4 linked regions of the Drosophila melanogaster genome follow. The protein of the gene in region 2 interacts with the protein of the main gene of each other region in a pairwise test. Each region holds a gene or a part of one and is shown on either strand. Other genes may lie near its edges.

Region 1 (10,133 bases), on a different chromosome or scaffold from region 2:
TACAGGCTTTTGATTGGCATCTGCATCTCCTTGTTGGCTCTGTATATCAAGGGACTGAAGCCGTACTCCTGCCTTTTGGGCTATATGCCAGAGGCTCCAGGCATCTATATGGATCTCAACCAGCATCGAAACGCCATGCAGGTTCCCGAAGTCCGCATCTTCCGCTACAGTGGATCGCTTAACTTTGCCACCAGCCTGTTCTTCCGACGTGCTCTGTACGAGGCCGTGGGCCTGGACAAGATTCCCCTAACGAAAGTCAGCAGCAGCAATAGCAATAGTCCCAGCAAGGGCAGCAAATCGAGTTATTCCCCAGTATCGCAGAACGGAGGCAAGGCGATCAATGGCAAGTTAGAAGAGACGTCAGGTGCTTTCAAGGTGCTCGTCCTGGATTTCTCCATGCTGGGACACATCGATGTGGCTGGATGTCGCACCCTGACGGATCTGAGCAAGGAACTGAAGGTGCGAGGAGCTCGTTTGTTGTTGGCTAGCCCCGTAGATCGGGTATACGATACCCTCGTGCACAGTATGGCCCTTAGCGAAGGACCTTTTGAGATCTTCCCCACCCTGCACGATTGTGTGGAATATGCCAATGCCTGTCGAACAGCGTGAGAGGGTGTTCCTGCTCCAGACACCCCAGTTAACTGGGGCAGAGAGCCAAACCACGTTTTGTGATATGTCCAAGTGATAGCTTGTGAATCGTAGCATCAAAACCCCTTCCTAGTTGCTAAAATCTATTTTAAACTGAATAGAAACAATGTCGCCGTCTACAATCAAGCAGAATAGGCTAAGTTTGTTTAAGTGCCTCCAAAATATTGATTTTTGTACTTAAAGCATACACAGCCCACCAGTCAGGCAACCGAAGAACTTCAATCGATCAATGAAGTGCATTGATTTAGTGCAATTTGTACCAAAATGAACAATTCAAACACACACAATTAGTCCATAAGGTTGATATGTATGGAGATGTATAAACTGTACATAAACATTTCAATGAATTTGTTGCATTTATTCTAATGTGGATTTTAAGCGGGTCGGATTCGAACTTCTAGCACATTTATGAAGCCTACCTTTAGGGTTTCTCAACAAAAGCATTATCGAATGTATTTCATTTTCGAACAAAGTGCTGCATACAAAGTTAGCTAAGGCTGGGTACCGGAAACCCTATACCGTGCATTGGATGGTTCAATTCCTTCTTAGAAAAGAATTTAGAACAGGAACGATGTTTTACAACATTTTTCAAAATTTAAAGGTGCCGCCACAAAATATTTAAAAACAAATTAAATATGTAGATAATTTTAAAAGTGTCATGTAGCCATAATAAATATTGAACATAAAGGAATAGGATTAAAATATAATATGCATTTATAGTTACTACATGTTCTCTAAAACTATTAATTTGTGTGCGGATAGGAAGTTAACAGAGTAATAACAAAAGGAAAATCGCATTCCGTGATGTTCTATCTGAAGAGTCTCATGTAAATATTCAGAAATTAATTAAATTGAAAAACGAAAACATTCTCAGAACTTTCGTCAAACCGTTTTCTGGACAAGACACATAATATACATACGTTGAAATGATTCATATTCATATCATTTATGTACTTAGGATTCATAAGATTGCCATATTGGTTGGAAATGCCTGACCTGATCGGTAGACATTATATTCAGCATTTGGATGACACATCGCCACGTACAATCACTGGAGCTGACACCGACCAATTAGCGGGCACATGACTAAACTCAGATGTATATTTTGGCTATTTGTTTGCCGAATATCTGTGTGTTTTCGTGGGAGGAGGTGGAACATGCTCTAAGCGGTGGCCAAAAGGGAATACAATTGTTCCAACTGATTAGCCATTTAATGACTTTGGCCCGAGGCCACAGAATGCACTTGGAGTTTGTTTGGACTTGTGTAGAGCTTGGGAAAAACTACATGACTTGAGTTGGTCAAGATCTGGGATTCAGTTGCGTTTTGCGGTTGTCCACCAAAATAAATGCCAGCCCTCAAGTTCGAATTTCGGAAGGTCACTTTGCGTGAAAATGTTGTTTATTTATATATAGAATTTTGTGTAAAAAAGTTCCTTTATACTCCTCTAAGCTAAAGTAAATTCTATATAATTAACTATTGATAACCTTTCAACTTTCGCAATGCATTATTCACGAGCACTACACATTCCCATAGATTCATTAATTTATTAATGCAATATGCAAATTTTTGATTGATTGAGATAGCTTTTATACGAAGATCAGTAAGTGGCGAAGGCGTAAGTAGAGTTATAGCAGCTATGATAAGTCATGTGAGAATCAAAAATGTTGCATTTGTTGTTTTTTCAATGTTTCACTTTAGTTTGCATCTGATAATGTATGATGCATGTTGCTGTGTTAACTCGGTTGTATGCGCAGTTCGGTTAACATTTTAATTATATCTTCCACTACCAGTAGTCATTTGCTTGCCTTCCCAATTTTTGACTCATTCCAATCAGTTAAAGTGCCACAATTTAACGCTTCTGACGCTTGTCACCTTCGCCGAGCTCAACGAGGCTTTCAACTCGCTCACACTAATCGGATCTCAGTAAGTATAGGTTCATAGGCGAAATTGACTGGCTTAAAATTAAGAATTCCCCATAATATTAATGATTCTTGGCCACTTGAGCAAGAATAACTGAGCACTAGTCGCAAACTTCGATTTCTGAGCAATATTTTATCATGAGGCGCCTGTGGGACGAGTGTGTGGAAATGGATTTTATGGCATCTATAAAACGCAAAAGGTTCCCACAGCGAGTTTATAAGATGCAAAATCAACAGGCAGAGTAATTGTTTTTCTTTTTTTTATGATTTATTTTTATTTTCGCCATGCAACTAACACATTGGTCGGTGATTACGGGGACATGGCGGGTGGTTGTTGTTAACACGGCCATAAAAGTGCTAAACAAGCCAACAATTTGAGCGCTTTTCAACCGTGCTGTGGAGTGTAAGTAGGGAGGGTGAGCTATTCGTCTATCGGCAGCCAACTTTCTGACCTTAGCTTGGAAACTGCTTAAAAAATTACTCAACTCAGCCAAAACTATTTGTTCGACTAACAAGAAAATTAAGCTGTTAATTGCCAAAGGTTGTCCTTCGGCACAGCAATTGAGTTCGACCAGCAAAAGTAACATGAAACACGGATAATAAGCATATTTTCCTTGTGCTCTCTTGGAACACTAAGCCCTTGAAATCAAGAAAGAAAGATAGCCTCGCCAATGTTTGATTTCTTTTCTAATATTTTCAATTAAATTTCGATATTTATACATACATGATACAGAAGACAAATTCACATACTACGAGCAATAAAAAGAAGATTTTTAGAAAAGTTCCAAGCTTTAAAACTATGATTCTAGAATGCGTAAGAAAGGAACGGACTGACAAACTTGGCTTTATCAAGTTGTCTGATCAACACTCGTATATTGAATATAAATATGGTTGCAAATAGATGCAAATGATCCAACTGAAGAAAGAAAACAATCATTACAAATAATCCTTGTTCAAAAAGTATTTAAACTTAAACTGTTATAACAAAACGGTAACCAATTCGGATAGATTTGCCTCCAAAATCAATTATGCGGACATTGCCATGTGCAGACCGAGAACTAAAACAAATATCAAATTTCGTTTGCTTATCAATATTTATATTTTGCAATTGCCCGAAATGAAACAAAGGTGCTGGCTGTGGACGACGGATCATATTTTGTTTGCTCAACGCATTTTCACATGCCGACTCCGCAAAGGGAAGTGTGGGTAAAAGAAGCCGAAAAATAGATGAATAAATAAGAGAGAAGCACGAAAACATTCAGAGAAGTATTTGCGGTTTGTAAGCGAGTAGAGACTCCCATCTCTCTCGCACCTGCAGTGCTAAGCCTTCGAAAACAGGGGCTCAAGTCGAAGTTGTTGTAATGTCGAGAGACCGAGACCAGAAAAAGCCCAACAACGAAGCTCTTTGTGAGCGAAACTAATAAAAAACCGATCGCCCCGACTGTTCCCACAACCAGTTCCAAGCGAGCTCTCGGGCGGTAGAGTCGTCCCTGTCCCACATATAAAACCATAGTATCATAGCTCCCCGGATCCACTCAATCCCTGTAAGGCGAGACTTAGGTCCATCAAGTGAATCGTATAGTTTTATCCCCACGAAATATCCCGACAGTACAGTGATAACTCCGCTAAGGATAATGCTGCCTTGGCAAGCGTGACGTAACTTGAAAAGCAAATGTTAAAAGCAAGGCGGCAAAAAAAAAGTTGTTTGCCATGGGAGAACTGCAATTGACAATAACAGCAACAGCAATCGAATAAAAACTCAATAACAATTATCAACTGCGAGTGACGCTTAAAACAAATGCAAGAAACCTGTATTAAAAAAGTTTCATAAAAATTCGAGAGCAAATATTAACGAATATTGCATAAATTGCTATATGCGTATGTAAACTTTGCGATCTCTTTTGATCTGAATGAAGTGATCTGAATGAAGAATGAACCAAAAATTTAAACAAGTTAATAAAATCGACCGAAAAAATGAATGAATGCGTCTTCATCAAAAAGTTGTTTATAAATAAAAGTGAAATTAAAAACTCTTCTACTTCTTACCACAAAAATGTTAATTGAAAGGGTTAAAATAATTTCCTTCTTTTTTTATAGCCACTCCCAAAGTTTCTGTGCATTCAAGTGCAACTAAAAATAGTAGCCGTTTCTTTTGTTTTGCTTTGTGTTTTTGCAAAACAACAAATTGAAGGCAATTTACATACACAAAGCTGAGAAAGAAAACCGCCAAAATTGGTTACCTAACGAAAACTTCGTTTGTGCTACGGGACGGCAAACTTGTAAGTGAATTTGCTTATTAGATAATATTTCATTTGTTTTAATTAATCATAAATTTCATACAGAGGTCCTTCAAATGCGACCACTTTCCTATTTTCACTGCTATATTTTCAAGCTTCGAGTATAAACAAGGAGTACATATTTCATATTTATAGCCTCGACCGATTCTGCTCACTAACTTTTAAGCTAACATCACCTACAAATAAAGATTACATACGAGTTTTAAACATAAATGACCTAGTAAAGCTATTATTCCTATGATTACAGATAGATAACAGGGTATGAAAGGAGCATAAAAGAGTGAGCTCAGAGTTTAGTAGATAGTACTTAAAAAGTCTGATTTTCTAAGTTTTTCATGAGTGACAGGACTTGGAATCCGAGCTTTAAGTGATCTATTACCATGTGTAGCACGTACAGCTGAACAATTACCATAAACTTAATTGGTCTCAGCTTACAAGCGGCAGATATAGTGATTCGCCCCGCCGCCAACGCCCCGTCATCATTAATGGCGACTTTCGGATGACTTACTGTCATCTCAGGCACGATTCGGATTCGCTTAACATGATAACGTCGAATGAAATATAGTGAATATTCAGATAGTGTGAGAACATTTTTTTAATAGCCCCGCCAATTACCTGGCGAACTCGACTGCGGCTTAACATATTTGAATTTGGAGAATAATGCTCGAAATGAGATGTCGTTTACCAGCTAGTGGGGTGAAGGGGTACCCGACTGCTCAGCCTGCAATTACTTTTAATTAGCATTTAGAACATCGCACTGCGCCAAGATGATTCAGAGCTGGGACGGCACTCGTAGTTAAACCACTACAATTAGCTGACAAATTTTCGGGCAGGCTATTACTTTGATTTATTTGTTTTGATCGCTCCAACTTCAACGGGGGGAATTCGTCTCGGAATCGCCGCGCAGCGAACCCTTCAAGTGGGCCTAATGCGATGTAAGTAACCAAAAAAAAAAAAAAAAACGCGAGTCTTTAGAGCCGTAACTGACAAAATCCACAAGACGTTGGCAGCCACCGCCGATAATGAACGCTTGTCTAGGCACATAGCGTTGGCAGCTTCGCTGCTCAGTCGCAGTTCCATAAAGTGGGTCATGGTTAAGTGTACTTCGGTCGCTTCGCGGTTCGGACCCGGCTTAGAAAGAGCGAAACGTTCGGCCGAAACCACAGCTGCGCATGCGCATGCGCATGCGCACCACTCGCCAAGCCGAACACCATTGATAGGCAGCCCATATGTTGGAGTGAATCTTACGCGAAAGAAACTCGTTAAAAAGTACATTCTTGAGATTACATCACATTGCAATAGAGAGTAGGCCAAAAATAGCTAATTTGAAATCGGGATGATGAGTTATGATTAACTTGGTTATCGCTAAGGACCTGTTGAAATTGAATGATCTCTAAGAACTTTAACTTAATTAAAGCATAGTGTGAAATTATTTTTATCTGTCTTTGGATTATAGAGTTGTATCGCCATCAAGAACCTCTGCATCTCATCCTACCCCAAATTCCCTGCATAATTCTCCTCGCATCAATATCCTCTGGGGGCTCTTCACCTGTAGACAAAAGTAAACAATGTGAAATCTTTTTATCCCATTGAATTGGTTAATTGAAATGTATTATCCTTTCAAAGGAAGACGATATGGGCTTCAGTTCGCGAATGGACTGCTGCGGGCAGTTCGTCAAGTACAGTCTTTTCATAGCCAACTTTGTGATATTCGTGAGTATCCAGGAGTCGCTTGAATTAAAAAACAATTTAAGAGAAATAAATAATACCAAAATATATGTATTTTCCAGGTGGGTGGAGCGATTGTGTTTTGTCTCACCCTGTGGACTCTGGTGGATCGGAGTTTCGTCAATGAGTTGCTCGGTACAAATCTTTTCTCGGGTGCTGTCTACGTCCTGCTGGTTACATCGATTATCATTTGTCTGGTGTCCTTTTTGGGTTGTGTTGGTGCCGGAAAAGAAGTCAAATGCCTCCTCCTAACAGTAAGTAAACAACAAACAATAAAAACAAAAATTTCATTTTATTAAATAATTAACTTTGTCCTTTTTGGAGTAATCATATCTGGATTTGCATATTTACAAAGATACCATCTAAAGAAATGATCTATTTGATTTAATCTTCTAAATGTTGTCAGTCTCTTCTTTACTATTATGCAAACACCATTTAGCTAAAAAATTAACCACTCGTTTTCCCTTTGCAGTATTTCATAATAGTGGCCCTAGTTTTCGTGACCATGCTAATTGGCGGTGTCTTGGGTTACGTGTTCCGCGAACGAGTTCAGCAGACCATGCGGCAGGTGAGGCAAATCCATCGATAACAACACGTGGGTGGCACATTAACCCTTACCAATATCCCATAGGAAATGCGTTCCACGATGGCACTATACGGAAGCAGGAGGGAGATCACCCAGGCCTGGGATTTGACCCAGGAGCGACTACAGTGCTGCGGAGTGGATACGTGGCACGACTGGAATAGGTACGGACCAGTGCCTGAGTCCTGTTGCCAGGAGCTTTTCGGTGGACAGCGTAAGGAGTGCACAATCTTCCCGACCATTACGAATCTGTACAACCAGGGATGCCTCTATGTGACGACCAACTTCATCAGGGATCACGCGGCGGTTATTGGAGGTACATCCATAGCGGTGGCCATACTGATGGTAAGTGAACGCCTTTCTTCGGTAGCAAAATTATTATATAATATATAATTAATTGGAATTTGGTTTATTTTTAGATCTTTGGCATGATATTCTCCTGTCTACTATTCAATATGATCGAATAGCGCCAACGAGGAGGGGAATCCCATGGTCACGCAGGAAAATCAGATACCAAGGTCCACAGTCCAGAAGAAACACATTTTTAAACATAATTCGCTGGAGTTAAATTAAGAGTATTATCTGAGTGTATGCTAATGTTAGATCTGCACAGATCAACTGTCCGCTTGTATTATGTATTGTATTGTATGTATATACGTGTTTAGATACGCATAACTAGTGAGTATTGAACTTAGTAGGGATTCTATTGTTATTATCTGTTGCATAAATTTGTATTATTTGTGTGAAGTTTTGTAAATTTCCTCTTAAGCCACCGTTATCAACAACCCATTACAATTGCTAGTTTTAAGTGAGCTTTTCAATACTTAATAGAGAATTTAGATGTCTGTCCATTGTTGTTTTCAATAAAAATTAGTTAAAACCAAATACTTCGGAAATGTTTATATATATTAATATTTTTTATTTTTAATCCAATTATCATTAAACGATATGTTGTGATATGAGTATAAAAAAAAAACGAAAAAGGATAAATATTTAAAATGATCTGGTCCATGAAATATGTCCATGTTACGTAAAAATTTGTATTTAAAAAACGGTTTAAAGTATTAAACTGTTTTTGATCGAAGCTTTAATCTACATGCAATATTGTTGCATATTTTTAGGTTTTTTTTGTCTTAAGTCACATTTTTGAAGCGGGAAAATAGGGAAAGTATGGATCACGCTGTGACCTGAAGGTGTTTACAAAGTGAATTATCATCAGATAATATAACAACTTTTATGTTATTTAACTGAAAATAAGTTCGCACTCAAGCGACTTTAAAGATTTGAATAAAAAAGTATTTTCTTTAATTAACTTTTATTAAAAATTATTCTACTAAGAACTTACAGCTACAACAGATTTCTGTATACTAAGCCTATAATACTACCCATCGCAAGCCATAAATTGATGGAGAAGGTGCCGGAACCTGATTGCGTATCCGTATTATTCCACCACTCCCAGTTTCCGTTGTGGAAAGTCGGGTTAGCTCTTGAATCAGAATGCGGAACTCGGGCGCTGGGAATCGCAGTCTTCCGAATTTGTTCCAACTCATCGGCAAGTTGCTGCAGTTGGAGTGGATACATTTGGGCTAGGTTGTATCGCTCGCAGGGATCTTTGGCCAGATCGAAAAAGCAGGGAGCCTTCAGTGGTTCACATTTGAAATGAGATTCCAGAGGATTTTGTCCTTCAATAGGGGGACACGTTTCGGTGGCTTCACTGCGCATCTGTCGGATGCGATCCTTAGTTAATCCCCGATTTCCTAGTAGGCTTTGAACATCCGATGCCAAGACATGTTGTTCGTAGCTCTCACCCAGGGGATCGTCTTCGTTAGTTTCCAGTTCACCCAACCACTGATCGTATCGTCCTTTAAAGCTGCTCCCGTTTACATACTTAAGAGTATCCCTCATGTACGATGAGTAACCGAAAACCTCATCGAGTACATGAATCATTGTTCTTGGTTTCGGTTCCTCGTTGCCACTCAGCATAGGCCACAAATTAATCCCATCCAACGGAAGATCCTGCGGCAAGGATACGCCGGCAGCTCCTGCCAGTGTGGGCAGCCAGTCTACGGCATGTATCGCCTGGTTGGACACATATCCTCGCTCCTTAAGCAGCGGACTCCACAGTGCACCAGCCGATCGAATGCCACCCTCCCACGGCGATTCCTTTTGCTGAATGTAAAATAAGGTGAATAAATATTCTAGTTTCATTGCTTTTATGATATTCCTGGATTACTTACTCCTCGATAGGGATAGTTAGAACCCGCATTGGAATGGATGCCTATCGTGGGTGCTCCGTTGTCTGAGTAGAGCAGAATAATGCTGTTATTCAGCATGCCATTATCCTTCAAAGCACCAATTGTCTGAGCCACGCTTTTGTCCAGACTGGAAATCATACCTGTGGTAAAAAGTAGTAACAAGATTACAAATATTAATTTGATTTACAATATATGTACGCGTTGTGTTAACTCGCCAGCGTAAGTGCGTCGCTTGGGATCCCTGATGTGGGGAAATTTGGCCACTTCCTCCTCTGGAGCCTGCATCGGACTATCCTCGTTGCCCGTATGCACCGCCAGATGACTGAGCACCATGAACAACGGCTTGCTCTTGTCGTGTTGCTCAATTATCCTTTTTGCTTCCGAAGTAAAGGCTTCGGTGGCGTAAGTGCCATTCGCTTCGGGGCACGGCTCCAGATCCCGCCGGAAATCCAGTCCAGCCGAGTAGTTCCTATCGAGCATTCGCACCTGATGGTCGTAGTAATCAATGTAGCCATTGTAGTAGCCAAAGTGATGGTCGAATCCACGCATTGTTGGCGTGAGATCCTTGCGCCAGAAGCCCAAGTGCCACTTGCCCACCAAATGGGTCGAGTAGCCCGCATCCCGGAAAATTTCGGGCATAAGACGTTCTCGCTGAGGAAGGCCCCACGGCTCATCGGTGATAATCACAAAGTGCTGCATGCC
Region 2 (6,772 bases):
AGCTCGGATCGCCCAAACACACTCGCCTCGAGCTGCACTTGTGTTGGTTTGTATCCGTATCTGTATCTGCATCTGCAACTGTATCTGCATCTGCATCAGCATCTGCTCCGGATGGCAGCGAAGTCTGTCAAGTGGGTTGCGATTCCGACTTCCCCCTCGGTGCAAAAAGCACCGACTGACTTTTTGCGTGCTGAGCACATTTCCTATAAATAGTAGCTGTAAACCATAAATAAAAAACGAAAAGAGGCAGAGAAGCGCAAGGCGAGGGCTACTCTATTCATGCCATCTATCAAGTTGCAGGCACCCGAGATGAAGTTTGCGCTCAAATGATTTGTTTAGACGGCCTGCCACTAAGTGGTGGTAGCCTGTTAAGGCCGCTTTGGTTGTACCGAAATGATTGCACAGCGAATTAGTTGGCATCGGAGTAAAGAGCTATCCGTTTAAGGCCTAAACATCACTTACCCCAAACGAGATCGTCTCAATTGGTGGATATAAATCAAGTTCGGTTAGCAAAGCAGCTGATATTGGCTGGCCGTTGGCTTCAGTATCCATGTCATAAACAAGGACTTCCGATTGCGGCGTCTGCTCAAGTGGCAAGTGCCACGAGCGGCTTAGCGGAGGTCCTCATTAAAGCCGAAACCGAATAAAACACCAAACTTTCAGCAGCTGAGGGGCGACAGCTTGCAGACCCAAACAGGTGGCATCGGCAGTTGGGTCAGAGACAAGTCCTGGAGTGCGGGTCGAGGGACGGAAGGGCGGGAGGACTTCCGCCGATGTCCTGGCCATTTCGTAGCCAGGTGGCCTCGCCTTCGCCAGGTCAAGCGAAAAGGCGTCAAGGATATCAAGGATTCATAACTCATTTACCGACCTCTTGATGAAACCACTTCGATATCAAGTTCTGCTGGGCGAAGCAGCTAAACGGAGAATTACTTGCAGTGGCTTGAATTCATAATGATAATAATTAAGTTACAGAAGTTTATTTTACCAACGTTAAATTTTATATATATATTATAGGTAAAATATTGCATACACCTTTTAGTTCAAACGCGCTTTAAGTGGACTTGTTTATTTTCATTTTAGTTGCTTGCTTTGTGCATTCAGATTCACATTTTAAATGATATATTATTGCTGGATGATTTATTATGCGAAACATTTTCTGTTTATGGACATAAAATATTTGTATTTTTAGTCAGAAATTTTCGGTGTGGGCCAAGAACGCTTTTAATAATGCGCTTCAAACATCCAAAGGCAACGAATATTCAGCGGTGTATTTTCACGTTTAACTAATGTGGTTTTAACAATCACCTTAAATAGCACATTAGCTTTCGATTTCTATCGCATTCGAGTCGCTTACACAAGCAGGGAGTTGAAAATCCGAGTGAAATATAAATAATACCTAATTAATTGTCAATTAATCTAGTTTTTATTCTATTTCAAACTTGAAAAGTAGACTTAACTTATATATGATTACAACTAATGTGCAGATATATTTAAAAAAAACTGCTGAATTCCCCTTGCCCATCGAAAGATTCATTTACACAAAAAAAACATTTCCATTCGAAACGCATAATATTTACAAATCAATCGAGGCATAAAACCGTCTATACTACATGGGAAAGTCAGTGCCCATGAATTCTACTAAGAAAATATTTCGTTGGAGCCCAGAACTTATGGGTATAGGTTTCTTTAATAAACTTGGAAATGCAACGCACAGCGCTCAGTAAACTCCGCAACTCCACACGGAATATGGAAAGCAGTAAAAGCCATACAATCATTGGAAAAGTTATTTGTTTTGACGGAGAGTAGGAGCGTGGGCAATATGGCGAGATCCCTTGCCACATTCATATGTAAATGCATCAGGTTGTAGAAAGCTTAGGTGAAGGGAAAAACTATAACTTTTCAAATCAAATTATTACTCATAAAACGATAGGTCGCGTTGTTAAGTGACTTGTTCTTCGAGGTTTTTATGGTTCCACAATTGAGTGAATCTAAGATGGAAAACGTTACTCTTACAAGGGCTTGTCTAATTTAAATGAAAGTACATTTAAGTTGCTTGTTTCTGTGTAGTAGTTAACTACTGTAAAGAAATAGATTTAGAAATAATATTCATTGCAAATAGCAAACCAAAGCGACTAGTCGCATTTTGATCTAGTACATCGAAATGAATGCATACTATAAATGTATTTTACTTATTCTTTGTGGTAAAATAAGACATATTTAACTAAAAATTAATAATCACTATTTAACCATTCCTTTAGCAACGTTTTATGTCCATTTAGTTAACAGCTTAGACAAGCACGACATCAATGCAATTTTAACGAAGTTTAAAAATCTCGCTGGTAACTATTTATATTTTAAAAGTTATAAAATTACTAAACGATCTGTCTGTTGAAGTAAAATCCGCAAGCATGCACTTGCAGGATAGCAAATCGGATATAAACATCACCTCCAAAGAATTTTGTATGAAAAATGACGAAAGGACGAACCGCTTCAAAAGGATTATTTTTCTGCAGAAAGAGGTTATCCTAAAATTGCAATCCCAATTGTTGGAACAAACTCTGAATTGCAGCAACCTGAGGCAAAGAGTTCGCAGGCTCATTGATAGTTACACAAACCTAAAGTCCGAGCTTGAAGAACTAAGGTCGAAAAGTGGCACAACTGACGGCCCCAAGAATGAGAGCACTATAAAACATATATAGTAGATTTGTTGGATTCAAACAATATTAAATATTAATTGATGAAATGAACCATGATTTTATTTTACATCTTGGCGCACTTTTCTTTGTCCTTAGGGCACTTTCCTTTAACAATTTCGGTGAATGCTGGGAAAGTGTATAAATATTTATACTGCTGCAGGCGAAATTACATTAATATATTCCACTTACGTTTCAGCTTTTTTTGCTCTCGACGGCATGAAATTCTTTCAACTTGGCATCGATTCAGAGCAGTAAACACACATGAGCCATCAGCAACCTTTCCACAATGGATATTACTTTTCCAGTCACAGGTAAGGCATTCGTCTGCAATGGTTTTCGCCAATACCAGAGATACTATAACTACGGGTCTATTATTAAATTTTTAATCTGAATCCAAAAGGTTGAGGTCCTACCAAATATGAGATGGATCTTCATGCCGTCACTTTAGTTTCGAAACTACTTTTTCGAAATACTCAAAAGAACACAATAAACTTTAATTCGATTACAGAACTATGACTGAAACATATCATATTTGCAACAGTTAGCACATGTATTAAAAACAAAATTCAATTTGCTAATGTTATACCATTGTATCTTGGTACTCTTTATACTTTGCGCTAAGTATCTACAGGCTGTGTAGTTCAACAAGAAACCCTTTTCTTTAAAAATGTGCAATTGATAACTTAAGTCCCCTTTTTTACTCATAAAAATCAATATATTTTTTATGACCCTAGCGACTGTGATGTGTTGTAAATTGATTTAATGGCCAAATGCTCACTTTGAAGCTCGAGAGTGCGTTATAAACTGACATCGAATGAAGCCGGGCCCATTTACGCAAGTTGACTGTACAAACGCCATGCATTTGAGACAACTCCTTACCGAAATGGGTAAGCAATCGATGTACAACAATACTACATTTATTTTATATTAGCTGTTCTTAATTTTGAAGTTATTATCTTGACCATATTGACCATTCCTGGCTATACCATTCACACCTTGGCAGAGAAGAAAATCAGCCAATATCCTTGGATCCCGAAGACGTCAACGCATATTACACCTTATAAGATATCTGGGGATATATGAAATATGAAATGTGTTATTATGTATGAATAAATTTCGACGAATTTGTCTGCCCAACAATATATTCTAAATAAATGCATATTTTAAAAGATACTAAGAGCGCATGAAATAAAAGTTTACTTCAATAAGCTTGATATTTTTTTAAAAAAACCAATGTGGTTGTGAATGTGCAGAATATACCTGGTATTTTTAGATTATTTTTTTATAAGCACATTGGACTCTCAATTTATTTATGTATATTTCCAACCTAATATTCCGTGCAATAAGTAATTATCCAAACCAACTTGGATATCTCTACAACTTACTAATTATTGACTTCCATCAAGCATCTTTTAATGAATGTAAACCCTTCCTTAGTTAATTTATCCGAAGCCATCAGAATGATCAAACCTTTTTAGTTTTCAAACATTTTTTTAAAAATGCACTTGCAACTGCATCAGTATTGATTATGTCCTATCAGAGAAATGCTAAACAGGCCTGAAAGAATTGACCATATCAGTGAGCATGGCGAGCAATAAATCTAATTGATTTTGATCGCCGTTTGATGGCCATACTTGAAGCAACTACTGGCGACCTATAAAAGAGGGAACGCAATCATCAGTCTTCAGTTCAGTTTGAGGATCATGAAATTCTTGACCGTATTTGCATTCGCCTGTGGTAAGTAGTCCGCACGACTTGGCCAACGTTTGATAAACTAAAGATAGGCATCGTTATTCTGTTAGTGGCAACATTTGTGGTGCTCCACGGCGCCTACGGCTCACCACTGCCGGAGCCCATTCCCGATCCGAGTCCGGTGGCCGATCCGAGTCCGGCTGCCAATCCCAGTCCAGTTGCCGATCCGAAGCCCGTTGCCGAGCCATCTGCCAATCCAGGGACCGGAACCAACGCAGAACCAGGTCCGAGGAGCAAACCGAATCCCAGTCCCTCGGCACCAGCAACTCTTTTGGAAGCCAATAAGCAAGACAACTTTGCGGTTCCGCTCCTAGAAACTGCTCCGCAAAAGCTGGATGATGTTCAGGCCGATCCCCAGCCGGCTTAGTGGGTGCATGACCCCACATCAAGGAGCAGCAGCAGCAGCTTAATCCAACTGGAGCCTGCACACCCACACACAAGGGAGACACGCACACATATATATATTAATCTTCTGTATTCAATGTATGCATTTATGTATTCCAACTTCTAGCATGGGCATTAATAAAATTGCAAAAAAAATATTTAAATACTTTTTGGTCATATTTCTATCCCCCAAAAAGAAGCAGATGGTATCTAAACTAAGATATATCTTTCAATACCATTATGATATGCGTGATGTTATGAATCAAAGATAAATAAACATTGAATCAGTACATAAATTAAGCACCACCTCTGTTAACCGAATTCAACAAGCCGCGATTTTAGGGAAGTGACGCGGAGTATTTGCTACACAAATCCATTTCCCACAACAACTTCCGCCAGGCAGTCAGACAGTCCACTGGGCCACGGCAATCACATGACATCGACACCGGCCAGGGAGAGACCAAGTGACCAAGAGACCAGCCGACCAGATCCGGCCAGCCAGATTTGCGTTGGTATAAAAAAAAAAGAAGCCACCGAGACTGGGGGGAAAAAATCGCTTACAAAGAGGAAGCGACAATGAAGTCAGCAGTGTAAGGTTGACGACGCCACGAATGCCGGCAATCCGACCACAAAGACAATGTCTTGGATGCCAACCGGCATTGGAGGGCATAAAACCACACGAAAGCCCCATTGATCGGGGGGCATCGTCGGTTAATCCATTTGTGGGGCATCATTACCACCGGGTTTATTCATCGCATATATGGTATGTAAATAGGTTTATTTGCATCTTTCTTTTGCCTCTTCCGACGATCGTAAATTTTAACTCAACTTTAGTTCGTTCTCAATCGTTAAGGCAGTGAACAATTTTGAGATATCAATTTACATGTTAACACATCTCGATTTTTGAATGAACAGTTGACTGACAAATTGGCCCAATCGGTTGTGAATGAACCGCCATAGTATTGAAAGCCATTGATAACGATTTCAGATTCGAAGAACTATAGAAAAGTAAACCTTTGATGGACTAGAATTGGCAAGCTTCAAATGATAGTCAATGAGTTAGAATGTTCAATTTAGTTTTTAGCAGTTTTCGAAATTTTGATAAGTAGTTAAGATACATCTTTAGCATTCAGATTCAGATAGGATTAATTCTTTCACATATTTCCTGTCTTATTCACTGCTTCTGATTTCTATCTGATTGCCATAGCCATCTCTCAGATTAAAGCTATACACTTGGCCATAACTCAACAAACCTTACGATGGATTTTAAAGATTCTCGACGTAGACAGCATTACAAAGGAACTTTATTGCGAGGTTTCACTTTAAATGGTCGGTCCTAGTATGGGATATGGCAGGCCTTTATGCAAATTGTACCATCTTTGCTTTGCGTTAGCAACAAACAATAAAGATACGCCAACAACAGCTTGTAATGGATATGAAAATATAAAGAAGATTATATATCTGACACGTATTTAAACGTAAAAATATTACAATACCCATGATTCTTAAGACCTTCATTATTAGCCAAAAGTATACTGAAAGTAGTGCTCTAATATAAAGTTAGTTTTTAAAAGCCATAAAGCAAATTCGATGCGGTTAAGTTCAGGATTCGTTATTCTTCATGGTGTTTGAAACACTTCTGTTGTTAAATTTAGCTTCTATTCCCGAGTTATTTACGAACAAGTAAAAAACATCTTAAAGATTCTTTGCAGCTACGAAAATACTCACAAATATTTTTCGTAAACAAAAAATTCTCGTTTGGCAACCAAATATGTGCCAAAACAACATCAAAAGCGGCACAATTAAAGCCAATGCAACGCTCCACATAATTATATTAACCAACTCAGAAAAGGGAAAACAATGGAAATATTAAAGAAAAGGAGTGGAATGAACGGCAGATGGTTACACATTAATTTATAATTATTTGGGCTTCCACCAAA
Region 3 (7,061 bases), 9.6 Mb from region 2:
GCCCATTGTTCGCTGCAAATAGTGAATGACCCCCGACCCCGACCCTGGCGGGTCTGAAAATCTAAACGGACCCCAAAAACCATCCCAGCAGCAAGCTCTATTGTCGCAAGTCCTGCACTTGTGGCAGCTGCCTTGACTTCCAGTTCGATTCCCCCTTGGCTTCCCTTCTTCTTTGAGGTTCGACGCAGGTTTCGCGCCTATTCACGGTTCGTTATCCTGTCAATTCAGTGCCGACATTACAGATCCTGTTGTCAGTGTCCTGTCGTCATCGCTGCCCCCAACGTTCCATTATGCTACGGCGACTAAGCTGATTAGGGGACATCGCGTGTGTCCTGCTTATTGGCCACACTAAACACTCTGTTTAGCCTATTACACGTGTCTCCTAAATGAAGTGTGTAAATATTATTTAACTCTGTTGCGGTGATTACGGACTACATAAAAAAAGGGAGAGTTTTTTGTCTGGTGAAATTTACTACAGGGGTTGAATGTGATTATTCACTAATGATTATAGTGATTTCCGCTTGGAAACGCTTCCGAAAAGGAGAGCCACCATTTTGTGCTTAACCGAATTATACTTTCTTCTACATATATATAAAAATAATAAAACATATCCCAATAAATTCATTTTGTTATTATTTTGATTAAGTTAATTACATATAGTTGAGTTAGGGAAAAATGGAATTATCAGACTAAGAAGTTTCTCATTCAACCAGTGGTTTTTTATATTACTTTATCCCTAAATATATGGGACATCTTATCTCCTTTGCCAGACGCCCACCACGTTATGCCAGGTCAGGCCGATGAAACAAACTCCCCTATTAACAAGATTTCCAACACCTTTTTGGCAGGACCTTAGATGCTCCTTGTGCAGAGCAAAAAAAAAAAAAAACCCGCACAAACACAAAGCAGACAAGGAGCCGTTAAGAAAAAATCATTGCACCGGGCGGACGGGTGAACGGACAACAACAATGCACCAAGGAAACCCAGAGGATATCGCATCTGCGCCTGCGGGCAGGCAGGAGCATTTTGAAATCAGGAATCAGCACAAATCGGTGCTGGAAATAATGTCAACTCGAGGGTGGCGCGTTGGTGGCTTGGCATTGACAGCTGCAGCTCAGCCCAGGATTCTTCTCCTTTGGCGCGTCTTCGTCTTGGGCCATCGGCTTGGGTTTTTCGTTTTCAGCTCTTGGGTTTTGGTTTTTGGCAAGATGTGCATCTGTTTGCCCTCAGCCCAAAAAATCGAGACTTGATTCGGACGTTGACTTGCATCTGCGGGCGTACAATGCTGAGTGCAGAGATGGGGAATTTGGCGAGTACACCAGGCAAAAAAGTATGGCAAAATTGCAAACAATTCTAGTTAATAAAAATGTTTGCATATCTAAGTATAGTATTTTTCTACAAATTGTAGTGTTAAGTAGTATTACTACTCCCATATATTATACACACGGAATAGGACACTTTAAAATGAGCTTAGCTAGGCTTATTAAATTTCTAGAAGATTTCTTAAGCTAAGATTTCAAATTCATTATACTTTTTTTTAAGTCAGTCGGTTCTACGAATTTTATTTTGTACTTAAAGCAAATACTGGTTTCTTAGAGTGCATTAAACTACCGCATTTATGATCGACATCGGAATACGAGTAATCACAGTCAGGGCACAGGACACAACAATAGTGCACCATTCGAGATTTTTCAGCATTTCTTTTTTTTTTTTGGCGGCAGGCCCGGGGTCCTACCTGAGTCACATCCTTTGTCGACTCAGGCCTGCCCTTTGATTTTGAATTTTTGAATTTCATTGCCCGGCTGGAGGCTGTCGGAATTTGAATTGGACTGCTGGGGTAATGCAACCGCAATTGTTTCGCCCCCTTTGTTCTGGCTGGCGTTTTGGCATGTGCAGGGATTCTCTTCGAGCGGGCAAATGAGTTCCGTTCTGGATTCCCTTTGTAGTGGGTTATGCAGATGCATATTCCTTAAGATATAACAAAATGTTGCATCACAGCTGCCCAAACACTGGCCTCTAACGGAGCATTCGGAGATCGGAAGATGGAAAACGGAACCGTTTTAGAGATCATATCTGTTCGATATTATAATTTTTGAGTTTTTACTGTTTACATAATCATTATTGTTTTAAAAAACATTGCCACAATAGATTACCAAACCTGCATTTCTGTAGCGTACATTGTGGAGCTCGATTTACAGTTGTAGAATGCTGTTCTTAAAATTTTGAATATGGTTTTAAATTGTTCTGTATCCAAAGACAACTGCAGTTTTTTTAATTTCACATAATACGTTGGTATTTTAACAACAAATAATGTTAATAAAATTACTAAATGGGCTAGTAGGCCAATTCCATTTGGCCTGTGACTTCCCAGAAAACTGTAAGGCTCGAATCTCCGGAATTCGTGGGAAACCCATGGTCGGATCGCGTCCTAGAACGGAATGGCCAATCCTTTCGCATAATGTGCCCACATTAACACCACATCGATCTAATCCCATCTAAATCATTTATAAGCGACAACAATTACCGTGGAAATGAAGATTTCATTGGAAATCCCGCAGCAGTGGCAAACAATATGCCCAGTATTTACATTTACAAATTATATATAATGTCTTATCCTGCAGCCATTTCCCGTCAAATGATCCCCGATAACCTTCTCGGGAGTGAGAGCAATCAATCGAGTGCAACACGTTCTAACGATTTACATGTCAAGTTGACGAGATTTGTCCTGTTGAACAATGGACTGGCGCTTCGTGTGTGTCCAGGTGTCCCCTCATACTTAAATGCCTGCCCATCGATTTCGGTTTCGATCGGGGTTTCGCTTTCATTTGTCACTGCTGTCTGACACCTTGTTATGCGGAGATATCCATCGAGGGCCCGAATGCGAAGACTTCCCCCTTTTTCGAGCTAAGCAAACACAGTTGCGGCAGTTTCAAAATTTCGATTATGCTCGCGTGATAATTATGCATGCAATCGTAAGCTTCCCTCCTGAAGTAGTTTGACATACGCAGTATAAAATAGTATTGGGTCTGGAGTTCTGGTTTGGTTCGGCTTGGCTTTATCGGTCGACGACAATCGGTCTCATTGTTTCCGTTTCCCACCGTCTGGCTTTGCCTTTGTACGAATTGCGTCTTTCGAATGGCCCCATCCCCATCCCAATCCGAATCCCAATCCCCCGTCCCCTCCCCATTCTCGAGCCGAAGTTGTCCAGCTGCGGCAGTAAATTTTATGGTTAACTACGGTCCGACATTTGTGCTATTTAACCTTTTTGTGCCATTGAGCTTCGGGGCAAAAGATCCCCGATCCACGTGCGACTCTGTTTGCTCTGACTCTGGTTCATATGCTAATGGGTGTCTGGTGGGGGCACAAACAAAACCAAGTACTTCTTACTTACAACCTGTAGTTTGAAATTTGAGTTCCTGGACATGTTCTCCATGATTTTAAATCTACTAGGTATGTAGCAAGCTTAGTCGCACAATTCACAACAAACTCTGGAATTGACAGACACAAAACTCATAATTTCCTTATACATATCGAGCGACGCCAAGTCACATATAACTCATTTGTAGAAAATAAGCAGAAGGCTTGAAATTTAGCAAATTCAGTTTTTAATTTCGGCCAGTGATAGGAAATCCTGCCAGTGGAAAAGTGCAAAGATGGAGGAGTATTCGCGGGAACCGTGTCCCCATCGCATCGTCGACGACTGCGGAGGAGCCTTTATCATGGGCTGCGTTGGAGGCGGGCTCTTCCAGGGACTCAAGGGATTCCGGAACGCACCACAGGGACTAGGACGCAGGGTCGCCGGCAGTGTGGCTGCCATCAAGACCAAATCTCCGGTGATAGGTGGAAGTTTCGCCGCCTGGGGTGCAGTGTTCAGCATTGTGGACTGCAGTCTGGTCCACTTTCGCCAAAAGGAGGATCCCTGGAACTCGATAGTGAGCGGAGCAGTTACTGGTGGAATTCTGGCCTCACGCAATGGAGCGGCGGCCATGGCTGGAAGTGCAATTATCGGTGGCGTACTGCTCTCAATGATCGAGGGCTTAGGCATATTTTTTACACGTTTCGCGGCGGAACAGTTCCGAAATCGTGAACCGCATATCATGCCTGATGCCAATGAAGGATACGGTGACTTCAACTCTTCCGGATTTGGATTTCCGGGTGCTCAGCAGGCCACTGCAACTAGCTAAATTCCGATTTTTCTTGTCTGGGTATATTAATACGTAGTCCTTTTTGATTTTCATAAGTGCTAGATTTAGCAATATTCCATTTGAAAAATTCGATGACAATAAAATATGGACAAAATTGCAGTATTTCCATTTAAGCTGTTTTTGCAAAGGAACCAATTTATTAAATTTCAAACAATTTAACACGGATTTATAATTATTAAAATACAATTAGCTGCCGTTTGCAGCTCGTTTTGGAAGAAGGAACAAATGCAATTGGCCCTCTTATCGTTCTCCGTGTTAATTCATTCGTATTCATAATCATTATTGCCTCAACAGGTAGTAGGTTGTTTCACACTTGCCCGAATCCACGACAAAGACACCTGACACGTGTCATAGGTCAGCGTGAGATATTGGCAAATGTTTACCTGTTCCAGATGACTACCTGCGATGCTGCGCCGGCGCATAGAGTCAAGTGTCCGGTCGGCGGGTGTGGCCACTTTACAACCTGTCCACTCGAGATGACCGCGGTGTTCTGGCCATTAGACTGAGTGAGGTACTGAGTGGCACTGGCTACCGGCCACATGTCCTGCTCCTAGCTGGAAAGTCTCGAGCGCACTCAAATCAGAACTTTTCCCCCGCAAGGCAAAAAACCAAAGGCAACGCCGATTTCCCAGCAACACATGGACGGTGGGAAGATGGGAAGTCGAGCCCAGTTATAAAATCGTGGGAAAACGCCGCCTACAAGGAAATCCCTTTTCGGCCGACATGGAAATTTCTTGAATAAATGGCCCAAAGAACATATGTAACTTTGGCTCGTGTGTTTTTTTTCCGCGAGCGCCGACTACTCGTAATGTGTGCGAGATTCCTCGCCTTGAGGAATTCCGCAACAAAACATTTGGACACGCCTGGCGCTACGGGAAAAGCACAGCAACATCATCATGTGGCCCGGCCAGGATGTGTGGGAACTGGAGAACTGGGGAATCCAAGGAGTCGCACCTACGCGCATAGTACGTGCTCCGGTCCGGCCAGCTCACACATGTGTAACCAGTACCGCCAGTCCTGTTTGTTTTCCCAGCTCCGCAGTTGGAGTTCCGACATATGTGAGCGGGCCAGGAGAACTCCCTCATGGGAAAACGGAGAGCCCAGCGAAGTCGAAGGTAGGACCAAGGTGAGAGAGACTGGCACATGGGACTTTGAAGGTACACAGCTATCACAGTTACACCGCAAAAAATGTCAACTAGTTTGGAAAACGGAAAATATATGTTGAACCTCTTCTATTTTAAATAATTAAGTATGTAAATGGTATGAAAGGGTATATTTAAATGGTTACGATGGGTTTTAACGATAATCGTATTTTACGAATTTTGAAGTATTTTGTTTAAAACAAACACCGTTTTGTTTAACACCGTTCAAAAATCCATTTTATGTCAATATTTTTCTAAGTGTAGATAAGGCACCAGGCCAAATAGTTCACACCTTCGCCTGGACAGGCTTGAGTTTGGTATTGAAAATGGGTCCGAAACGGGGCATGTGGCAAGCACATGTTTGGCGTTGACCAACAAAACACCTCAATGCGAGAAATCAACCCAAATGGAAGATTTTTCGCATGCTGCGCCCGCATGGCGCTAAACGCGAGCCATTTATCAGGGATGTTGAGGCTAATAGAAAATTCAAGAAATTTCACAGCGAAATATATTTAAAGGATAAAATCTTGGTTTGTGAAAACAAATTTAATAAAGCTGCCAATCTTAAAATCCCTAACGAACGAAATTTTAATATTCGTTTCCAGATATGAACAAGAATATTTTTCTGCGTGGCATATACCTTCAATTCATCTTGAGACCGACCGATGATAACAGATATGTTGATCTGATGCTAGCCTTGGCACATGTCAATGTCAATCGTTGAACCGCATTCAAATTGAGGCGAGGCGCATTAAAGGCATATTTCCGACTTTCTGGCACCTTTCAAGCTCTATGCATTAGAATATTTGCATTTCACTGGAGTGCCCGTTGAATTTGGTATTCCCAAAATCAGGCGCCAAAAATCTCATGCATATATGACACACATTTTAATTGGGACTGGGACAAGTCTGCAGGCAGACCAATGCATTTATTACGCGACTTGATTTTAGAATTCCTAAAAAGCTACTGCTAGGTGAATAAATTAGGCTCCAGCCCCCAGAAAACCTTGCCTGAGTTCACAACAAGTTCAAGGGTGCTACACAGCAAAATGTTGGAATTTAAAAATATATAACAATAAAATAACATATCAATAATTCATAACGATAAAATAAAAATATCAAAACGATAAGGATTATGCATAAAATATATTTTTTTGTATCATAATAAATACCACGTATTTTTCGTGCTAATTTGGAATTAAGAATATAATATTTTATCTGTATCGACTGTCCATTCTACGTTTTCAACTTGAAGATCATTGCACCGGATCATTGCACCAATTAGAAGGTCGAGTTAGGCACTCCAAAAATGTGTGCACTGCAATAGTTTGCAAGCCAATGGGCAATGACTCTTTTTCCCATGTGGCATGATCTACGGATTGTCCGAGTCCATTTGCATTATTTCAACCGCATCGATAATCGCTTTCAATTTTCTACTGCCGCTTAGTATGCATGCGGTCCATTTGCATGTTTTCGGCTGATGAAATTGATGAAATCATCGTCCAGAGCAGCTGTCGAAAGTTCTTCGTCTTCCTAGGGCAAAACTGCATCCATCAATGATGACTTCGTGATCTGGGACCCGTCTTTTCTTTTACTATCAGCTCTGACCTTATCCCAAAAAAACGGTAATCGCATTCATTAAAGCAGCCATGTTTACACTCACCATCGAAGGGAATGCAAATCGAAATTCTTTGAAATCTGTCTGAAAGCTTCAG
Region 4 (8,630 bases), on a different chromosome or scaffold from region 2:
GTCGTGGTGTCGCAGTTTGAAATACATGCTCGTTGTGGCTGTCGAAAATCCGAGCAAACGACTTTGAAGTCAATCGCCGGACTTGCGTCAAATCTCCAACGGCTTTCGATCGAATTCGTGTTATCAGTAGCGGCGATTTGATTGATAGCGTGTCCATTGGGCGGCGTGGAATGTCTAAAAACTTTCCAAAACAAGTGTTTTGTAAATCGGACTTCCTGGCCCGGGCCTTATTGTATTATTTTGCTCTTTCCTTTTTTTTATTTCAAGTTTGCCGCAGCTGCAACGCTGCCTCTGAATGTGATTCATGTGGCGCAATCTGCTTTATCTTTCCGAAATTTATCTATGTACCTCTAACCAGTGGTCATTATATGGCTTACGATTAGATTACCAAGGCTGTTCAGGTCTCCAAGTGGGCGGGGCCTTTCCCAGATCTAGATGCCAGTCATTCATGGTTTTATGTTTTGCCAGTGAGTAATGCCAAGCATAAACAAAAGAAGTACCGAAGTTCGGATTCCCCTTGCTTTATGACTGACTGTTTGAATAGGTGACTCGAATACGTTCAGAGTTTTAAGTTAACTGAGGAAATAAATAATCATATCAGACCAAAATAGAGTATGTTTTTTGGAGGTTCTTATATTTTATTTTTAAGTTTAAAGTTGACTTTGTGCTGTTACTTTGATGTTGATGTTGATCATTCGTATGACAGTTGCAAAGTGACACAATCTTGGCGTTTATGATCCTTATCATATATTCAGCAAATAGAATTTTTTTAGACGGTTAGCTAGACAATTTTACTACCGGATTAGCTTTTCGTACTTGTCTGTCCAAGCGGCTTTTGCAATCTTCCGGTGAAGAGTTGATGTTATTTTCCATCACTGACTTGAAAACAATACTTAATTTTGGGTTACTTTTTTTGTATTTTTAGGAGTACTGCGACCACGTCACTACTTTGTGGAACGATGTGGGTATTCGCGCCTGCTATGATCGCTCAAATGAGTTTCCCCTGCTGGATAGTGCGAAATAGTAAGTATCTAATTGGATTGATTCAAAATCAGATTTCTTTCCCATTTATTCAAAAAAAAACCTTACTAAAGTTTGAATTTTTTTTTACCCCAGCTTCCTGGACAACTTTGTGCGGATCAGCGATGCTGAATACATACCCAGCACCGAGGACATTCTGCACAGCCGTAAGATCACCACCGGCATCTCGCAAATCACCTTCCGCGTACCCATTCCCAAGAGCATGGGTGGTGGCGAACAGCAGTTCCAAATGTACGATGTGGGTGGCCAAAGGGATCAGCGGAATAAGTGGATTCAGGTATTCGAAGGCATACAGGCCGTATTGTTCCTGATCTCGTGCAGCGAGTTCGATCAGAATCTGCGCGAGGATCCCAGCCAGAATCGTTTGCAGGAGGCTCTGAAGTTGTTCAGAGCCGTGTGGCAGAATCGTTTCCTCGCCTCCGCCGGATTGATCGTGTTCCTCAACAAGTACGACATCATGGAGCGAAAGATTCGGGCCGGCAAGCACATTGTGGACTACTTTCCCGAATACGAGGACTTCTGCAAGAGGCCGCAGCAGGACAATTGCTTTGGCGAGAGTGACTGGACGAAGATGTTCATCAAACAGAAGCTGGTGGATATCACACAGGAGCCGTTCAAGCGACACTCACGGAATCAGGTGGATCTGGGTACCTCGGAAAGGGAGTGCTACTACCACTTCACCGTCGCCACGGATACGCGATGCATCCGTGATGTCTTCTGCGATGTCCAGAAGATGATCCTCTCGGAGAACGTGTCCAGCATGGGCCTATTCTAGTCCAGATCCCGTTGCGGATCGGAGAGCTTCTCAATAAAGTTAAGGGAGGGCTGTCCTCAGGCCCCCACCAACTGTGATCTAGTAGGATATGACTTACATAAGTAGCCATGTAAGACCGTAGATCGTAGTGGCAACCGTATGTTGCACAATGGCTGGTACAACGCTTTAATATATTTAACTGCATTGGGTGTAGAGGAAGAATCCTCATACCGAATGCTCTCACTACTCCTTCAACCAATGTCTAAACTCTAATAGAATATAGCATCTACAATAAACCAAAACACACCCAGACAATTTGAGAATGAGTTTTAAATATTTTTGCACCCAAAGTTTGGGTATTTGGGTCCCATGCAACACAAAGTGTAGCATACTTCAAAGGGCACACACGCTTTGAGCGATCTGATGTTGCCATAGGAAAGGAAAAGAAACCATAGTTGTTTTACTTTTGATCAAAATAGTTTCCCATTCGGAATACACCATTCTACTCTTTATACAAGAATATATAAGCTTCGTATTAAAACATTTTAAAATATAAAAAACATATTGAAAGGCAAAAAGTCATAGTGATCTTTTACAAAATATGCGCTTCTTATTCAAATTAAAAAAAAAGCTTATTCCACTTAAATGCCGTTTATCGATCAGAGCGTTATATTTTGTACGGTCGGTCTTAAATTTAAATGATGGAATCCACATAGTTCTTTACCATCGCTTAACTAATAGCCAAGTTACACACCAATGAGCTGTGGTCCTTACCTAATACCCATTACTCGTAAAGTGATATGGTATTTAAGTTTTGTGTCTACGTATGCAACACGAACAAAGAATCGTTACTTTCAACCAAATCAAAAAGTTAAATAAAGATCGATCATCGTTTTAACTTTTACCAGCTTACGTTCTCCCCAAACATTTTAACGATTCATGTCGGTATAACCATAAAACAAAAATATTCCTGTATAACTCGCGATACTGTTTAATAATTTGGGCATACAAATGCATCTTGCTACGCTTAACCAAAGACACTAGTGGCTTAACTGTTCCTTGCAACATAAGTAAGTTTGACTAGTACCCAATAGGAGTGGAACCAGTGTGCATAGAGCTCCACCCGCACGCAGCTAGATGTGACCGCACGCGAGCCGCAGAAAAATACCGCGATGGCAAAAGTACCAGCGCCATGATTGGTACTAAAATATCTCCTATATATAAGTATAGCGATAAAGCAGCCGAACCGCCAGCTAAACGTTCAGTTCGCTTTGCGCCGGCAAATTCGATAGTTTTTTGAGTTTGCTGAACCGAGTCGCTGGGGCAGAAGTGTGTGACAGCCAGCCGTGTGTGTTGTGATCCAGCCAATTGATACTGCGATAAGAGGCGGCGAGCAAATGTAATTACCTCATAGACATCAGCGTTCGAAAATAGTAACCGTGTTTTCTGTGATATCTGTGTGAGTGCGTGTTCTCGTTGATGTTTTGCGGTGGTTTGGTTTCCTCCTTATTTTGCGCCCCTTTTTTCTCATCCGATGCTGCGAGAGAGAACGAAAGAGAGGAGAGGCAAAAACATATTTCCCAGACATTTGCTGATTTAACCGAGAACTTTATCGATTCAGCAGGAACCAGAATACGAATGGAAAAAATTCGGCAAAGATCGCGTGTTTTTGCGTGAGAGCAAAGTTAGGGCGAGGAGGGGCAGTTTGTTTTTCGGAAACATAAAAACCGCTAGGAGCATCGAAAAAATTTCACTAGAAATTTTTGAAAGCGCTCGCGCAAAAAACCGGATATGTTACTCAAAAAGAAACAACAGAAAAAGCTTCCAAATCAAACCAAAGCGAAGCTTATGGCAAAACGAAATCACCTGTGTGTGCGAGAGTGAGTGAGAGTGCGTAAAAGTGTGAGCGCGTCGAGTGTGTGTATGATTAGTCGCGTGTCTGGCATGCAATTAGGCATTCAAACTAATTTCCCTCCCACCGGCAAGTTGCCCTGTCTCATTTGTATTTTGCTGGGTTTCGCTGTTTGCTTATGCATTCCTTCAAGTTCTTTTAATTCGCACGAGACTTTCGTGGGCAGAGAAAAAGAGGAAGAGAGAGCGCGCCAGACTGGCGCTCTCTGTAAACTACCACAATTACACTTTCCGTTACAGCCACCCCCTCACTCATGTGCTCCCAGAACACTGTGAGAAAAGTGATGTAATAACGGGGTAGCTTACAGGACTCAGAGTGTCCCTGGATTCAGCTATTAGTATTGTGATTTCAAGATATAAAAGTAGAATGTTAAAAAAAACCAAACTCGGAGACTCCAAATGTATTTAATTTGTAGTTTTAGTGTAGTTTTTCGGCTAGAGATTTTGGGGATCTTAAAATTCTCACATTTAAATTAAATATTTAAAATAAAACTCATGCACATTTAACTAAACTTAATTATTAATGTCAAGATTTTACCTCCGATTGACGAGCAATGTTTCTCTTTGTGTATCAAGTTGTTTGTGTATCCATTTAAGCTTCAGCACGAGGTGTGAAAAGTGTGAAAAGCGGAAGAATGTAGATGAAGATAACCACAAAGCGTGCGCCATTCATGAAAGCGTTGCACATCCCTTGCAGAGTGAGCAAGAGCGGGAAGGTGTTTGAAGGGGTGTGAGAGGGAAGAAAGATTGAGTAAGAGAGAGCCATGGACCAACGGTGTTTTTTTTGTTGCCTGGCAAAATCAATGAAATGGATGAATGAGAGGAGGAGTGGTGTGGGACGAAGGGGAAAGGAAGGTCGCCGAGAAATTTATGCGACAAAACGCGGGCTTTTTATGTGCCTGATTGTGTGTGTGTGTGTGTGAGAGAGCGCGTGTGAGTTTTGATAAGGGGGAGTGGTGCGGAATTTTTACTGAATTAAGCTTTAAACATCGTCGTGTAAAATCCCCATTACTTAGGAAACAGATAAGATACTGCAATCAGTAAAAAAAACTAAAAACATTCGACTCGAAGATAAATTGTAGTTTTAATAATTAAAGAATGTTCCCATAAGTTAAAAAATTATATTCAAAGTGTTTTCCTTTTTGTGTGCCTATTTTAAAAGTACGTAATGTATAAAAAAACAAAGTCATACAGAGCAAAATGAGAAAATTTAAACCGTCCTAGTTCATTGGGTACTTTCAGTATATTATTTTATTTATTCAAATAAAACAGCTGTATAGCTCGATGTATATTTAAATTAGTTTTTAATCAGCAGAAGCTAAAACCTATTGTTAATATTAAATTAATATTAATTTAATAAAATCGTTCTGGTGTACGAATAGCTATTTCTAATACGAATAGCTATATTCCTTAACAAAGTTGTACAAGATCTTTGACAAGATAGTTCTGAGTACATTAACTAATCTATCTCTACTTTCTTGTCAATCCACAGCTGCATATAACCCAAGTAACATAGCCACCAACTCAAACACATAAAGCCCACCAAAATGATCAACATGGACATTAGCGTTACGCCCAATTACTCGTACATCTTCGACTTCGAGAACGATTTCATACACCAGCGGACGCGCAAATGGATGCTAGAGAACTGGACATGGGTGTTCTACTACTGCGGCATCTACATGCTGGTCATCTTCGGTGGTCAGCACTTTATGCAAAATCGGCCTAGGTGAGTCTGCCACACTGAACTGAACTATGTGAACTAAAGCAGTTTTGCGATTAAAAAACATGTGTTCTTTGGTGGCTTAGATAGACAATTCAGTGAAATAACGGTTGGGTTAAGAACTTGCGCCCTTTGGCCTTGGAAAATTATTAGCTGGCGGCCGGGGAGCGGCGTTAATTACACCCACAAGTGCACACGCCCCTTGCAGTCGGTAGAAACAACTTTGCTGTTTATCGAAACCAATCCCTGGAAACCCCTATATTGACTCAGTCGCGCTTTGTTTCGGTTTATTCTCCGGAAAGACTGGAGTCCAAGTGTACATTTGTTATTAGCCCAGACAGCTGTTGAGTTCCACGTGTAATTATATTAAATTACGGCTAATCAAACACTAATGTTGTAGGTGAATCCTCAACTCGGGCTCAAATAGCCAACAATTCGCATTCGCACCTGAGCACGCACTATTCAGGTGTATTTTCCGATGGCTAAAGACCTATTTGATTGGGTATTTTAACAATTTTTCCAACAGTCAGCGCTGTTTGTCCCCTCCTTGTTACCTGATTTACCTGTGGTGGATCCAATTGGCGGCTATTCGTGCTGGCAATTGTCTCGTTTCGATTCGCTTCGTTTTTGCCTATGATACTGTGTTTGCCTTCCTGCTTCTAATTGTCGTCATCGGGCTTTGTGGCCAAATTAAGTTGGGCTCGTGACATGCCATTTAGACAGTATTTTTGCAAGATCATAATTCAGTTTTGTCACCTGGTTTGGAGCTGTTTATAGCCTTGCTAAGGCCACTGTGAAATTCGGTAGAAAGTTGCTACCGTCTAACAGAAAAGTTTATTATTGTCCAACTGGGGAAAACGGGCTATATAAGTTCCTTCTGAGTATCTTTCGAAACATACGTCTTTGTATTCTAAAAAATGTTAGCTAGATAAGTCTATTTGATGTGGCTTTCCTAACCCTGAATTCCACATCATGATTCAATTGCTTGCATAATGTAATGTGGAGTAGCGATTCCTGCCCACACTCCGACCCAAAGCCATTGGGTTTTTGGATGAGTTATATAGGGGCTTGGCCCTGGGTTGCTTGGCGATTCTCTACGCGGACACTCGTCGGGGGATCTGTCGGTTAATTTTTCACTTTATTGTTGTTGGCTTTGCCTTACACTTGGCTTTTTCGGAATGTCATTTCAATATTTGCCCACATGGAGGAGAGTCGGCTAAGCAAATGGACGTATGTACTTGGTACAGAAAGGTGTGAATTTAGTGAAAATGCAGGCGTTTCTTTCGAACTGTTGGGGTTAAAAAACTGACAAGGTAAGGATGAATTGGGCAAATTAAAACGGATTGATTTCCGCTTGCTCAGCATGGCTACTTAACTTCTTGAATACTCAAACACATGCATGAATATTCAATATTTGACGTTTTCCAAACCATGCCATGTTTAAGAATCTCTAATTAGCAACCACGGTTCTGAACAGCGTGTCAAAATTAATCGCAAACTTTGAAAGAATGCAAATGCACCTGACCGCATGCCACCGACTGTACATTTACATATTTAGAGAGTGGACTTCCCGCTTGCATTCCACCTCATCTTTCATGAATTTAATTTTTGAATTTCTGTTTTGTTTCACTCGTTTCGGACAGTGCGCCATTAAAGTCATTAAACTGATTAGGTTTATAGGTACACGCCATGTCGTACTCGTTTCATTTCAAATGCCCAACGGACAAAGTTTTCCACGGCGACCATGTGGCACGTATGTATGTACATATGTGCTTGTGTGTCATGCAAGAAGTGGGTGTGTCCACGCAGACGGGGTTGTGGGTAGTAGTCCTGGACGGAACTCCAACAGGACACTTTGACATGTAGCCGCTCTATAGGTCCACTTCAATTGGACACTGGTACACTGGACCACCTGATTGCGTTTACAATATTTACCAGCACTTTAAAGTGATTTTTGCTTTTTTTTATAGTTAAAAAGTAAACAAGAGGTCGAAGCCTTTGGAGAATTTTAATATTTCAGTTTTTAGTATCCATAACGTATTGCGTATTACAGTTGACATCTCCTTAAATGGTTAAAGATTAAATATGCCTAATAAAATTAGCTTATAAGCACTCTACAAAGAATCTATAAAATATAAGTTGCAAAGCCTTAATGGTCCATAAAGTAAGATATTCAAATGATGTAATATGCGTGAAAAACAAGTTCCTGTTGGCCAGTGTAGCTTTGGCGTGCGCAAATGTTTTGTGACCATATAAGGAGGAGGGTTCATAAGGGGGCGATATGAGATGGGGTGGGCAACGTGTGTGGGGACCCCAGTGGTTAAAATAGAAATCTGAAGCAGCGAATAATGTATGTATGTGTTTGCAGAGGAGCACGATGACCGATAATTGTAATCATTTAAATTTTAAAGCGATTGAGTCATTCAGTTGCTTTGGTTTCTCGCTATTATTCATGTTGTTCCGAGCAAATTGCATTATTTATATCACAACAACTGGAAATAGTGTGTCGAGGACAAATGAGTACAGAGTACAGAGGACCTAGGATCTAGGTCCACCCTCGCTCGAAATAATAATGTCCTTTAATGTGGATTCTCTCACCACGCACAGTGTCCTTAAATGGTTGGAAAAATGTTGTTTGGCGTGTGTGTTGCTACGGGGAAATTTTTTTTTTTGCAATTGAAGCGTGGCAATTGCATAACATTTACATTTGCGAATTAAACAATAATTGCCGCCCCTCCACGGGCACCTGCAATTACAATCACTGCCGCAATTAACTATTACCACCAGCCACAGCATTTAGTTAAAAAATAATTCACATGCCGCAGTAGACCGATCGAAAATAATAAGTAAAAAAATATGAAAAAAACACACAACGAACGTGGAGAGACGAGAAAGGGCAGTGCTGAAAGTGAAACTTAATTCAATTTTGGTCGGCCTATGAGTGTGCATATATGTATGTACATACATATATTAACATCGTATTAACGACAACCGTTAACGCAAACAGTTGGTCAAAAGTGGGCAGAGCTGGCGAGCAAATCTCCGCGTTTCTTTAATAGGCATTTTGTGTATGTTTTGATATATTTTCTACATAAGATACCATTTTCGAGATCTCAATGTTGGAGCTTTGGGAAAAGCTCCGCTTGCTCTTTTTTCTTTCTTTCTGTGTTTTTTTGGCGGCGGCCCTTTCCTCTCAACTCA

Evidence for each region.
Region 1: the proteins of CG9029 (region 2) and Tsp74F interact in a two-hybrid assay, tested with the Drosophila melanogaster proteins (one large-scale study listed by BioGRID).
Region 3: the proteins of CG9029 (region 2) and Tim17b2 interact in a two-hybrid assay, tested with the Drosophila melanogaster proteins (one large-scale study listed by BioGRID).
Region 4: the proteins of CG9029 (region 2) and Baldspot interact in a two-hybrid assay, tested with the Drosophila melanogaster proteins (one large-scale study listed by BioGRID).

Annotation. Positions count from the first base shown.
Region 1 is NT_037436.4:17,889,745-17,899,877, reverse strand, and holds Tsp74F (tetraspanin 74F), read left to right. Parts: upstream 1-4,015; 5' UTR 4,016-4,112; intron 4,113-4,665; 5' UTR 4,666-4,847; intron 4,848-6,321; exon of another isoform or gene 6,322-6,426; intron 6,427-6,491; 5' UTR 6,492-6,500; coding exon 6,501-6,578; intron 6,579-6,655; coding exon 6,656-6,847; intron 6,848-7,065; coding exon 7,066-7,161; intron 7,162-7,224; coding exon 7,225-7,521; intron 7,522-7,595; coding exon 7,596-7,643; 3' UTR 7,644-8,058; downstream 8,059-10,133. Other genes in the region: prestin, read left to right, coding at 6-609; CG7402 (uncharacterized protein), read right to left, coding at 8,524-9,345, 9,414-9,571, 9,647-10,132.
Region 2 is NT_033779.5:5,881,621-5,888,392, forward strand, and holds CG9029 (uncharacterized protein), read left to right. Parts: upstream 1-4,381; 5' UTR 4,382-4,399; coding exon 4,400-4,433; intron 4,434-4,480; coding exon 4,481-4,815; 3' UTR 4,816-4,989; downstream 4,990-6,772. Other genes in the region: CG44574 (uncharacterized protein), read left to right, coding at 2,162-2,201, 2,259-2,339, 2,395-2,699; Sfp26Ac (seminal fluid protein 26Ac), read right to left, coding at 2,761-2,822, 2,886-3,056, 3,110-3,131; CG43185 (uncharacterized protein), read left to right, coding at 3,553-3,583, 3,646-3,779.
Region 3 is NT_033779.5:15,481,184-15,488,244, forward strand, and holds Tim17b2 (translocase inner membrane 17), read left to right. Parts: upstream 1-3,545; 5' UTR 3,546-3,653; coding exon 3,654-4,184; 3' UTR 4,185-4,362; downstream 4,363-7,061.
Region 4 is NT_037436.4:16,656,035-16,664,664, reverse strand, and holds the start of Baldspot (baldspot), read left to right. Parts: upstream 1-3,049; 5' UTR 3,050-3,194; exon of another isoform or gene 3,195-3,254; intron 3,255-5,198; 5' UTR 5,199-5,253; coding exon 5,254-5,435; intron 5,436-8,630. Other genes in the region: Galphaf (G protein alpha subunit f), read left to right, coding at 926-1,023, 1,117-1,816. UniProt on the Drosophila melanogaster protein: Catalyzes the first and rate-limiting reaction of the four reactions that constitute the long-chain fatty acids elongation cycle. This process allows the addition of 2 carbons to the chain of long- and very long-chain fatty acids (VLCFAs) per cycle.